3 linked regions of the Saccharomyces cerevisiae S288C genome follow. Changing the gene in region 2 together with the main gene of any one other region gives a genetic interaction. Each region holds a gene or a part of one and is shown on either strand. Other genes may lie near its edges.

Region 1 (3,063 bases), on a different chromosome or scaffold from region 2:
GTGAGTTTAATGCCTCATTACCAGGCTTACTCTACCGATATGGCATAAGGGTTATTCCTTGTATGTTGACAGTCGGCGATTATGTGATAACTCCTGATATTTGTCTCGAAAGAAAATCGATTTCTGACTTAATTGGGTCATTACAGAATAACAGATTAGCCAACCAATGTAAAAAAATGTTAAAATACTATGCATATCCGACACTATTGATTGAGTTTGATGAAGGACAGTCGTTTTCTTTAGAACCTTTTAGTGAACGTAGAAATTATAAGAATAAAGACATATCAACTGTTCATCCTATATCAAGCAAGTTATCCCAGGATGAAATTCAGCTAAAACTAGCCAAATTAGTATTGCGGTTTCCCACTTTAAAGATTATATGGTCTTCCTCACCCCTGCAAACTGTAAATATAATCCTAGAGTTGAAATTAGGACGTGAGCAACCTGACCCTAGTAATGCAGTTATATTGGGAACGAATAAAGTTAGATCGGATTTTAATAGCACTGCAAAGGGCCTGAAGGATGGTGATAACGAGTCTAAATTCAAGAGACTGTTGAATGTTCCTGGAGTGTCAAAAATTGATTATTTCAATCTCCGCAAAAAGATCAAGAGCTTCAATAAGCTTCAAAAGCTTTCATGGAATGAGATTAATGAACTTATTAATGACGAAGATTTGACGGATAGAATATACTACTTCTTGAGAACAGAAAAAGAAGAACAAGAACAAGAGTCAACAGATGAAAATCTTGAATCTCCTGGTAAGACCACTGATGATAACGCTTTACATGATCATCATAATGATGTTCCTGAAGCACCTGTGTAAAATATTGTTTAATTTAACGAACCCTGTTAAAACATCAGTATAAAATGCGATTAACTATAGTGAAAATAACAATATTCATTTGGTGACTTCGACCGTATATGTTATAAGTTAGACATGCTCTTTGAATCTTTTACTTTGATATTTTATTCCGCATATATATTCTTTTTTTCGCGTTCATAGTTTATTCACTCAAATTTTTCATATCATCCGCAATTCATCTTCCACTTTTTAGCAGTAAAAATGACCAAATGAAGTTCATTTATTTTTGATTTTTTAACCGTATTTGGTGGAATCTGAGCGTGGCATTAGTGAATCATTTTAAGCCAAATTACCCGTGAGTTTTTCTTAGAAGCGCACAATCATATTCATTATTAATAAATGCTTCAAATTCATCCTCTTGAATAAGGTCCAGAAATAATTTTGTCTCTTTTCCATTACCTATGTGGGTAAAAATTTTCTTTTGCGACTAAGATTCAAGAGACCAAGTTTCTTTTCCACAACGATATATAATAAACCAAATGGTACAAAGTAGGAAACAACAAATAAGGAAAGCTTTTTCTTAAGTAGATTTGTATATTTATCCAAGAATGAACGATGTGTCTCGTAAACAGTAATTCCTTTTAAATTTTATATTTCTTCTATTTTCTGAACTTTTTTACTTAAGAAAAAATTTGGAAATCATTACCTGTAGGATGGCTTAGCTCTGATAATCAACCTACCAAAGTAGTTTGCAGTTATGTGCACTTTTCCCTTCATGTTAACATTATTCGGGCCGGTCTATTGTTAAATAATTAAGGGTCCATTTTAGGCACGGCGGATTCACAGAAAACCACGCAGTGCTCAACGTCATATACCACAAAATCCGTTTTCGTATTAAAAGTGAATGTGTCAGTAAAAGGCATTCTTTTTAGCGTTCATTATTTCCTTTAATATGATGTACCAATCTGTCCACTGCCTATGTAAACTTAAAAGGGAGGCATTTATGACTTGAGATTTGGTTAAATTACCAATATCTCAAGGGTAACAATATTTGCTATACTGGTCATCTAGAATAAAAATACTGCGTTGTAGTGCTGAGTGATAGAACTTTTAAATCATATTATGTTATATAACAAAGAGCAGGGAACAAGCGGCGCTAGTAGCTCTGGTCGTAGAACGAAATTCCACTTCGATCGTTTTGTACAAATGGTTCTGTTCATTGCCGCTAATCCCAATTATTGCTGTTCAGTAGCCAGTATCCCGAAATCTGGTGTCACGCCAGATTTAAAAAGAGCAGATATTCTTGAACAGAAGATCAAAAGCTTAAATAGTGCGCTGAGTCCAAAATTGAAGGAAGAAAGTCGTCTTGGTGGGCCTTTGCATAACCCCTCTATTCTACCAGCCCCATCTTTTTCATCACTACCAATATCATCCAATGGAAAGAAATCTTTAGCAGGATATAGACCTAAAAGTAGGAAGAAACAAACTATACTCCCCAACGGTCAACCAAAAGAGTGCGCCACTTGTGGTGACACCTGGACTTCTCAGTGGAGAAGTGGACCTAATGGAAATGTTGAGCTATGTAGTCGATGTGGCATAGCATATAGGAAAAAAATGGAGAAAAAAATACGATCGCAACAATCCTCCGATGATGGTACTAAAAATTTTATATTTAAAAATAAATAGTTAAGTAGTTTGTAAAGATGGTATATTCAGCGGATTCTTCCTCTATTTTTATGTTTTTTGAGATATTTCGAGCTTTCTATTTTTTTAAAATGCCTGAATTTCCATCTTCAAAAAAAACATAAAAAAGGTACTTTACCACCAAATAAATGATAACCACAATTTACTTTACTTATCCTCCACTATCAAGTATCTTCCTACCAGGAAAAATGAATTTCAAATGATTCGAAATTTACGGAGGCTCAATATAGAGATAGTGTGACGATGTTCATAAGGGCTTTACCGCTTAGCACGTATCTACAGTTTTCACTCAATAATATATTCTCTAGGAATGATTGCCAATAGATTGATATCCAAGAGAAGGTTCAATTAAGGAATTTCATTTCGTTCTAATCTTTTGTTGAAAATAAAAATTTTTACTTATATGTTAAAGCTTAAGATTCCACATAAGGTCGAAGACAATCGTCACTAATGTGTGGTTCTGCCTGCTCATCTCTAAAATATATTACTTTTTGTACAGACATCTAAATTGAGCTGGTGCTTATGCTATTCTTATGATTTATTTTCAAGTGGTTTA
Region 2 (2,877 bases):
TAATAACTGATGAATAGGGTGCTTTTTATACGTTTATTTTAGGAAGCAAGAGATCCTTTTTATCAATTGGGAACCCTTCAACAATTTGTACTGGTAAGTCTATGAGTTATCCGTTCTTGAACTAGAAGAGAGCGCAGTAACGTAAATGCTTGAACATATTTGTTAAGGTAAATAAAACTGCCCTAATTTTTTATTTAATTCGAACACGGACATTCCTCAGATAAGACAAGTCTAACAGTTAATTCAAAGTAGAAAGAGCTTAATTTCTCCGTAAAAGAACGAAGTATATTGCGATGATGCCTTGAATCCCAATTGGTAACTCTATGACATTTTTGTAAAGGTTACCTCATCAGAAGAGAACGGACCTAAAAAGATGACCCACATTTCTCTAGAAACAATCGTACCCTAATAGTTGCTTTAAATTGCTCAGCGGTCAAGAAAACGTATCATAATGTTATTCTATTCTTGAGCAGGCACTTTTAGGGTTGGGCAATGTCCTCAAAGTAAATATTAGTAAACAAACGAATACCTCCAAATCCATTGAATTGAAAATCCATTCCAAGCTCTGCGCTTCCAATTGTTAATCACACCACCGATAGGCAATAGAAGTTCTGTCCGTGAAGATACCGCAGAATGAGTTGTGCCCGTATTGTTGCACCTAATTACGGAATCCCAAGGTATGCGATGTCCCAGTACGACCGTTAAAAAGACAACATGAATGACTGATCTGTTTAAGAGTATAGGCAGAAATAAAAAAGTTTGTGCAATGCCTGACAAAAAAAAGCTAATTTTTCTTTTAAGAAAGAATGTCATTCTTTTACCGCAAAGTTAATTTCTGCCTACAATCACCTTCTAAACGCTCGGACTGATTGCCTTGAGCAATCAGCAGTTCTTTGAAGCCACTGTCGCAACAAAGAAAAAGAAAAGGGAAGTCCATTCTTAGCCCCAAAGAAAAGGATGACAAAAAAAAGAAAAAAAGTTAACTCGTACCAGTAAAGCCTAATTTTGCAGTGATCGCTAGCCCCAGAGAAGGACTAAAGACAAAAAGGACCCACTCGATAGGAAAATAACGGCCGAAACTCTTTGGGCGACATTTTCTTGTTAAGAAAACAGAAGAAAAAAACCTTAATTTGAACTTTCCAGGCACACCCAAAAAGGATTATGCTTATGTAATGCCACATTCCGAGAAACTGAAAGGCAAAAAAGAAAAAGCCTTTTTTTTCCTGCCGCGAAAGTTTAATTTGCCTACCGGCGTTCCTATTGGAGTCAGGAAAAGATCACTAGGAATTACAGCTGTGAGAACATACTCTGGGGCTGGCGTAGGCACACAATCCGGTATTCCTAAAGTTTTGTGGTACAAAACTCCATACCTAAAACATAAAACAAATCTCACCCGTGGATCCTTTTATTCATAATACCCCGTCCTGCACGCCGTGGAACTGAGTCTAAGTTGACAAGGCTACGAATGAATTTTGGGAAATGCATACGAAGAGGACTGAAAAAGTAGCAGGTTTCATGTGGTGGAAATACCGATTAGCGCATTCACATTCGTGTTAGGGTCCGTTTTCCCGCACAGCTTTCGAAATATGAAACAATGTCCGTCTGCGTCAGCAGCTCAGATAAGGAAAAAAGAGATGGTAAAAAACATTCGAGAAAAACAAGTACTGCAGGTGCATGTCCTCAATGCATGCAAGTGACCGTTTTGGGGTGGTGAGAACCATCACTAATTAAACTTTTCCTATTTTTTGTCTTTACAATATTCATTAGTCTTCATTCGCATTGGGTGTTCTACAGAAATGCTGGGCAAATCTGGAGATGGGTTGATACGCTAGCGTTCCTACTTGTAAGGGAGCAAAGATGTTAGATTTTTCTGTTTTGGAATTTTAGCTTTCTGTCCACCTTAGGTGTATGGCTCGGCTCTCGATGAGAATAGGAAAGTATTCCGCACTAACCGATGGGGGGTTGTTCTTACCGTAAAACCACACTTGAAAGCTATACGTAGTTGGAACCCCAAAACGACGGTATGAAATGAGGGATACATTAGGGGACAAAAAGGACTAGTAATTTCTTTGAAATTTGTAATAATAATTCGAAAAGTTGAGCATCCTTAATCTGACATGGCACACAGATGAAAAGGTGTTGAAAGCACTGTAAAAGAGGTTAAGAAATATCCTCTTTTCAACGAGCTTCATTTTGAGTATAATATGTTTATATTTGTCGCTGGCCCTGAGATGCTCAACTGTAAGTAAAACATCGGATGTGTGGATAAAAAGAACATGGAAAACGAGTGCAGCAACGACTATATTTAAAATAGTATCATTCATAATTCGATAGATGGACTTTTCAGCTACTTGTAAACGGCGAAATTGTGTCTAAGTTGTGAATGAGCTTTTCATTTTCATTTGCGTACCGAAGTGGTAAAACTGACGACCTAAAGTACGATATACGGAATAAAGCAAGTTCTAATACTCTCTGCAGTTTGACCAGTGCTACTTGGCGCTGTTCATTCCAATTAGCCGTAAATTTGTGAAATAGATCCCAAGATAATCTCCGTTTTATTTGCTTCCAAAGAGGTTATCTTTTTAATAGTTGGCATTTTCTAGCTTCTTGGTTGCTATAAGGCATAGTTGAAGTGCAGTGAGAGGAAGAGGGGAACTCACGGAAAGAGACTCCTTATACTTTTGTCAACCGGTGTGTTCCAAAATTCGCTAGTTAAACGTTTTATTAGCAGCGGTCCCATTGAGCCAAAACCCCGCTGAGCGTTGCGACACAATCTGATCATACCACATAATCATTGCAGCGCCTACTTTTTAACTTCTAGCAGCCAAATTGTTATTCAGATTTAGTTGGCGGTACGACTCCTTACAGCAGTAAATT
Region 3 (3,395 bases), on a different chromosome or scaffold from region 2:
CATATACAATATGCGAGCAGACTTTGTCCATTAAGCCAAGTAACAACAAAAGAACCAAAAAAAGGAAAGTATCTCGTCTCTGTTGAGTAATTCTTATATCTTGCAAGATTTAATTCTCACTACTAATACGGAACTCAATCAAAGTGGCTTAATCCCAAGACATGCATTGAATACGGTATCATTGGCTGTTGACAGTTTAAGAAAAGTAGTTGTCACGTTCCTGAGGTTACTGGGGACAAGGGAAAGTAGATACTCGTCTTACGAAATTGGATATAGTTACTCTCTAATGCTCAATCCATGTAAAGCATGAATCATCTCAACAGAAAAATCTGGGAGAGCATATTTGCAACAAAAGAATCCAAATATCAGTATATAATTATATAAGTGAGCTAAGAAGTGAACAAAAGAAAAGGAAGAGGGGAAAAATTTTGGCTGGACTTGTAGAACGATAGAACGAAAGAGTCCAAGGGGGAAGTAATAAAGTTATTGAACGAAACAACAAAAATTCGATGGAGATATTAACAAATGCATAGCAGCGCAGCTAACCGACCCGAAGCTAGTACCAACGAATTTTTCAACTATTCTGTGTTGATTGTCTCCTTTGCAACACCGAGCTCTTCAGTATTCTCAGCTGAAAGTTATTATTGAAATCACGTTGGGGACTTTCATGATCTAGTGGTCTTGGTGAGTAGCATTTAATATTTTGACCATTGAAAGGGCATCTCTCAATTGGAGAAAGGCCACTCTTAGGGATAGGCGTTTTAACAATCTGTTTATGGGATGAATGATATATTTTTGAGGATGGATTCACGATACTGATATGTTTCCCGTCCGCATTATTCGGATATGTAGTGCCTTCTTTCGATAAAATAGATGCCAATCCTGGCGTATGCTTTGTTTCGATGACGGAGCTTACCAATTTTTCACTTCGTATTTTCGATGAGTTCTTATTTTTACATTTGACGTTCAATATTCCGACATACGTCTCTCTTTCTGAAATGTTGGAACTCTGTGGCCTTGGATTTGGTGTTTTTTCACCCGAAAAATTGTTGATAACTGCACTTTTCTTTGAGGTACTACTATTTATATCTTCCTGCTCTTTTGTTCCCCGCTTAAGATGTTTTGGATGGCAAGTTTCAATAAACTGCGGTTTTATTCCTGCTTCTGAAGAGGTGCCCGAGATGTGAACCTCATTTCCACCACTACCAGTATAAGTAAAGTAGTCCGTACCTTCTTTTCCAAAGTCATTTGAGGAATATACCAAAAAAACACCTTCCTTTACTTGAAAGCGATCCACGAATGGGAAAGTATCCCCTTCCGAAGTCACATCTGAGGGAACAAATTTTAAAACATATGAGATGTTGTTTTCATCCACGGCATCATAAAATTTACAGCAATTATTCTCATACATCAAGTTTTTGAGAGTGTAGTCATGCAATCCTAAATCTTTGAAATGCATCTGATCTATTTGTTTCTGTATTTCTCTTTTCTTGAGTTATATAAACGGAATGATTAGTAGTTTGGCAGAATTTATAGCAAGTATTAAATAGTTGAATACCTCAATATTCTCCATAATAAACGCCATATCGTACATAAAGGCTAAAACAAGAATGCCTGATACCGTTCTGCTTTTTGTTTTATCTTTCCCTATATTTTCTTTCCCTTTTGATGCTTTACGTAATTTTTCCCGGCATATGTGAGCTTCCTAATAGACTCTATTTTTATTTTTCCCTTTCAAAGTGCGAGAGAAATACACACAACCAGCCTACGCTTATTTTCACCCATACCGTCATACGCCATATGATATATAATGTGAAACAAACGCGGGGAAGAGCGCGACACGACAGCTTAGCAGGGGCATTCCACGCAACACCTGAAACTTTAAGTAAAACTGTTTCTGCGAGGATATCTTGGCAAAACAAACACTAACTTTCGAACTAAATATAGTGATCGTGGTCATAAATTAATAAAAAGAGGATAAATAGAGATAAAAGAGATATGTGACTAAGTTGCTGGCAATATGTATTATTTATACTTTTATCTTCTTGAAGCGTATTCAAAATTGCGTTTCGGTAAAGCTCTCACCAGATGTACTTAAAGTTTGGGATGAAGCACCGTTTTGGACAACTTTCATTAAGGAATCAACATATTCTGCACCAGACCATAGCTGGTGTGTCATGATATCACAATTAGTCTCCTTTTCCCGTTTTTGCACTTTTTCGACGTATGCTTTCATTCCGTCACTTTGGAAGCTATTGGCTAATTCCCAGAATGATACTCCATCTGAATGCAGACCGGCAAGGGAAACCAGTTGCAACGTGAAGCCTTCTTTTGCCAAGTCCCATACGAAGGATTTTAATGCCTTATCATCAAAGCCGTGAGCGCTCCAATTGAAACTAGGAGATAAGTTATATACTAGCTTGGTAGCTGGAAGTTGTTTATGAATTTTTCTTGAAAATGAGCGTGCCTGCTCCAGGTCAGGAGTTTTCGTTTCCAGCCAAATCATATCAGAATATGGGGCAAACACCAAAGATCTTCTAATAGCTGCTTCAATACAACCGTTAAACATGTAATATCCCTCTTTGGTCCTCGGAGCATCCCAGTCAAATATAATTTTCTTTAGTGGTGTCACTTCTTGAGCTAAAAGTTTCATTTCTCTTAAGCTTAGGTATGCTCTACCCAGCTTGTTTACCATAAGGTCTTCCTTCTTTTCTTTATAGCTTTCAAACTCGCTTGCCGTAAACTGCTTTTCTAAGGCCTCTTCAAATGTAAACAGCTCATTTTCATGGTACCATTCTTTTTCCATGTCAGCAATGGCGGAGTTGGGAATTTTTTTGTCCTCCATCTCAATCAATTTTTCGCTCCAAGGCACCACGTTATCTCTTATTATACCCCTAATGAATTCGTGGTCTCTCGGATCACTGCTTGAACTCAACAGCTTACCATTACAGGAATCTGTTCTTGCAATAACCAAATTTTCTGTCCCCATGATATCCCATTGAAACCTGGTGGAAATCAATCTCATAAGATGTGTTGCTGTGGGCACCAAAACAGCCCCACTTAGATGGCCACACCTTTTGCCTCCCACCATCTGATCTTCAAGATGAATACCAGCAGCCCCTTTCTCCGCAAACAACTTAGCAACTTTCATTACAGTCGTTGGGCCACCGTGACCCATGTCTGCGTCCGCGATAATTGGTTTTAAATAATCAACAGGAGTAGAACCTTTGATGGAGGCCTCCAAGAAAGCCTTTCGATCGTGCAATTGCTGCGCCTTGAATATTCTCTCCACTTGATTCGGCACAGTATCGTATGGATAATCGCCAAAATCCGGCGATACTTCATTTGTAGATCCAACTAATGTGGAAGAACAAGCCCAACCAGATATGTAAGCA

The links.
Region 1: mutations in YIR020C (region 2) and ECM23 together harm fitness more than expected from each alone (negative genetic interaction), as found in Saccharomyces cerevisiae (one large-scale study listed by BioGRID).
Region 3: mutations in YIR020C (region 2) and HAL1 together harm fitness more than expected from each alone (negative genetic interaction), as found in Saccharomyces cerevisiae (one large-scale study listed by BioGRID).

What each region holds. Positions count from the first base shown.
Region 1 is NC_001148.4:509,176-512,238, forward strand, and holds ECM23 (Ecm23p), read left to right. Parts: upstream 1-1,925; coding exon 1,926-2,489; downstream 2,490-3,063. Other genes in the region: ssDNA endodeoxyribonuclease RAD1, read left to right, coding at 1-824. UniProt on the Saccharomyces cerevisiae protein: Involved in morphogenesis. May be involved in cell wall organization and biogenesis.
Region 2 is NC_001141.2:393,745-396,621, forward strand, and holds YIR020C (uncharacterized protein), read right to left. Parts: upstream 814-2,877; coding exon 511-813; downstream 1-510.
Region 3 is NC_001148.4:565,213-568,607, forward strand, and holds HAL1 (Hal1p), read right to left. Parts: upstream 1,460-3,395; coding exon 575-1,459; downstream 1-574. Other genes in the region: methylisocitrate lyase ICL2, read right to left, coding at 2,057-3,395. UniProt on the Saccharomyces cerevisiae protein: Involved in salt tolerance.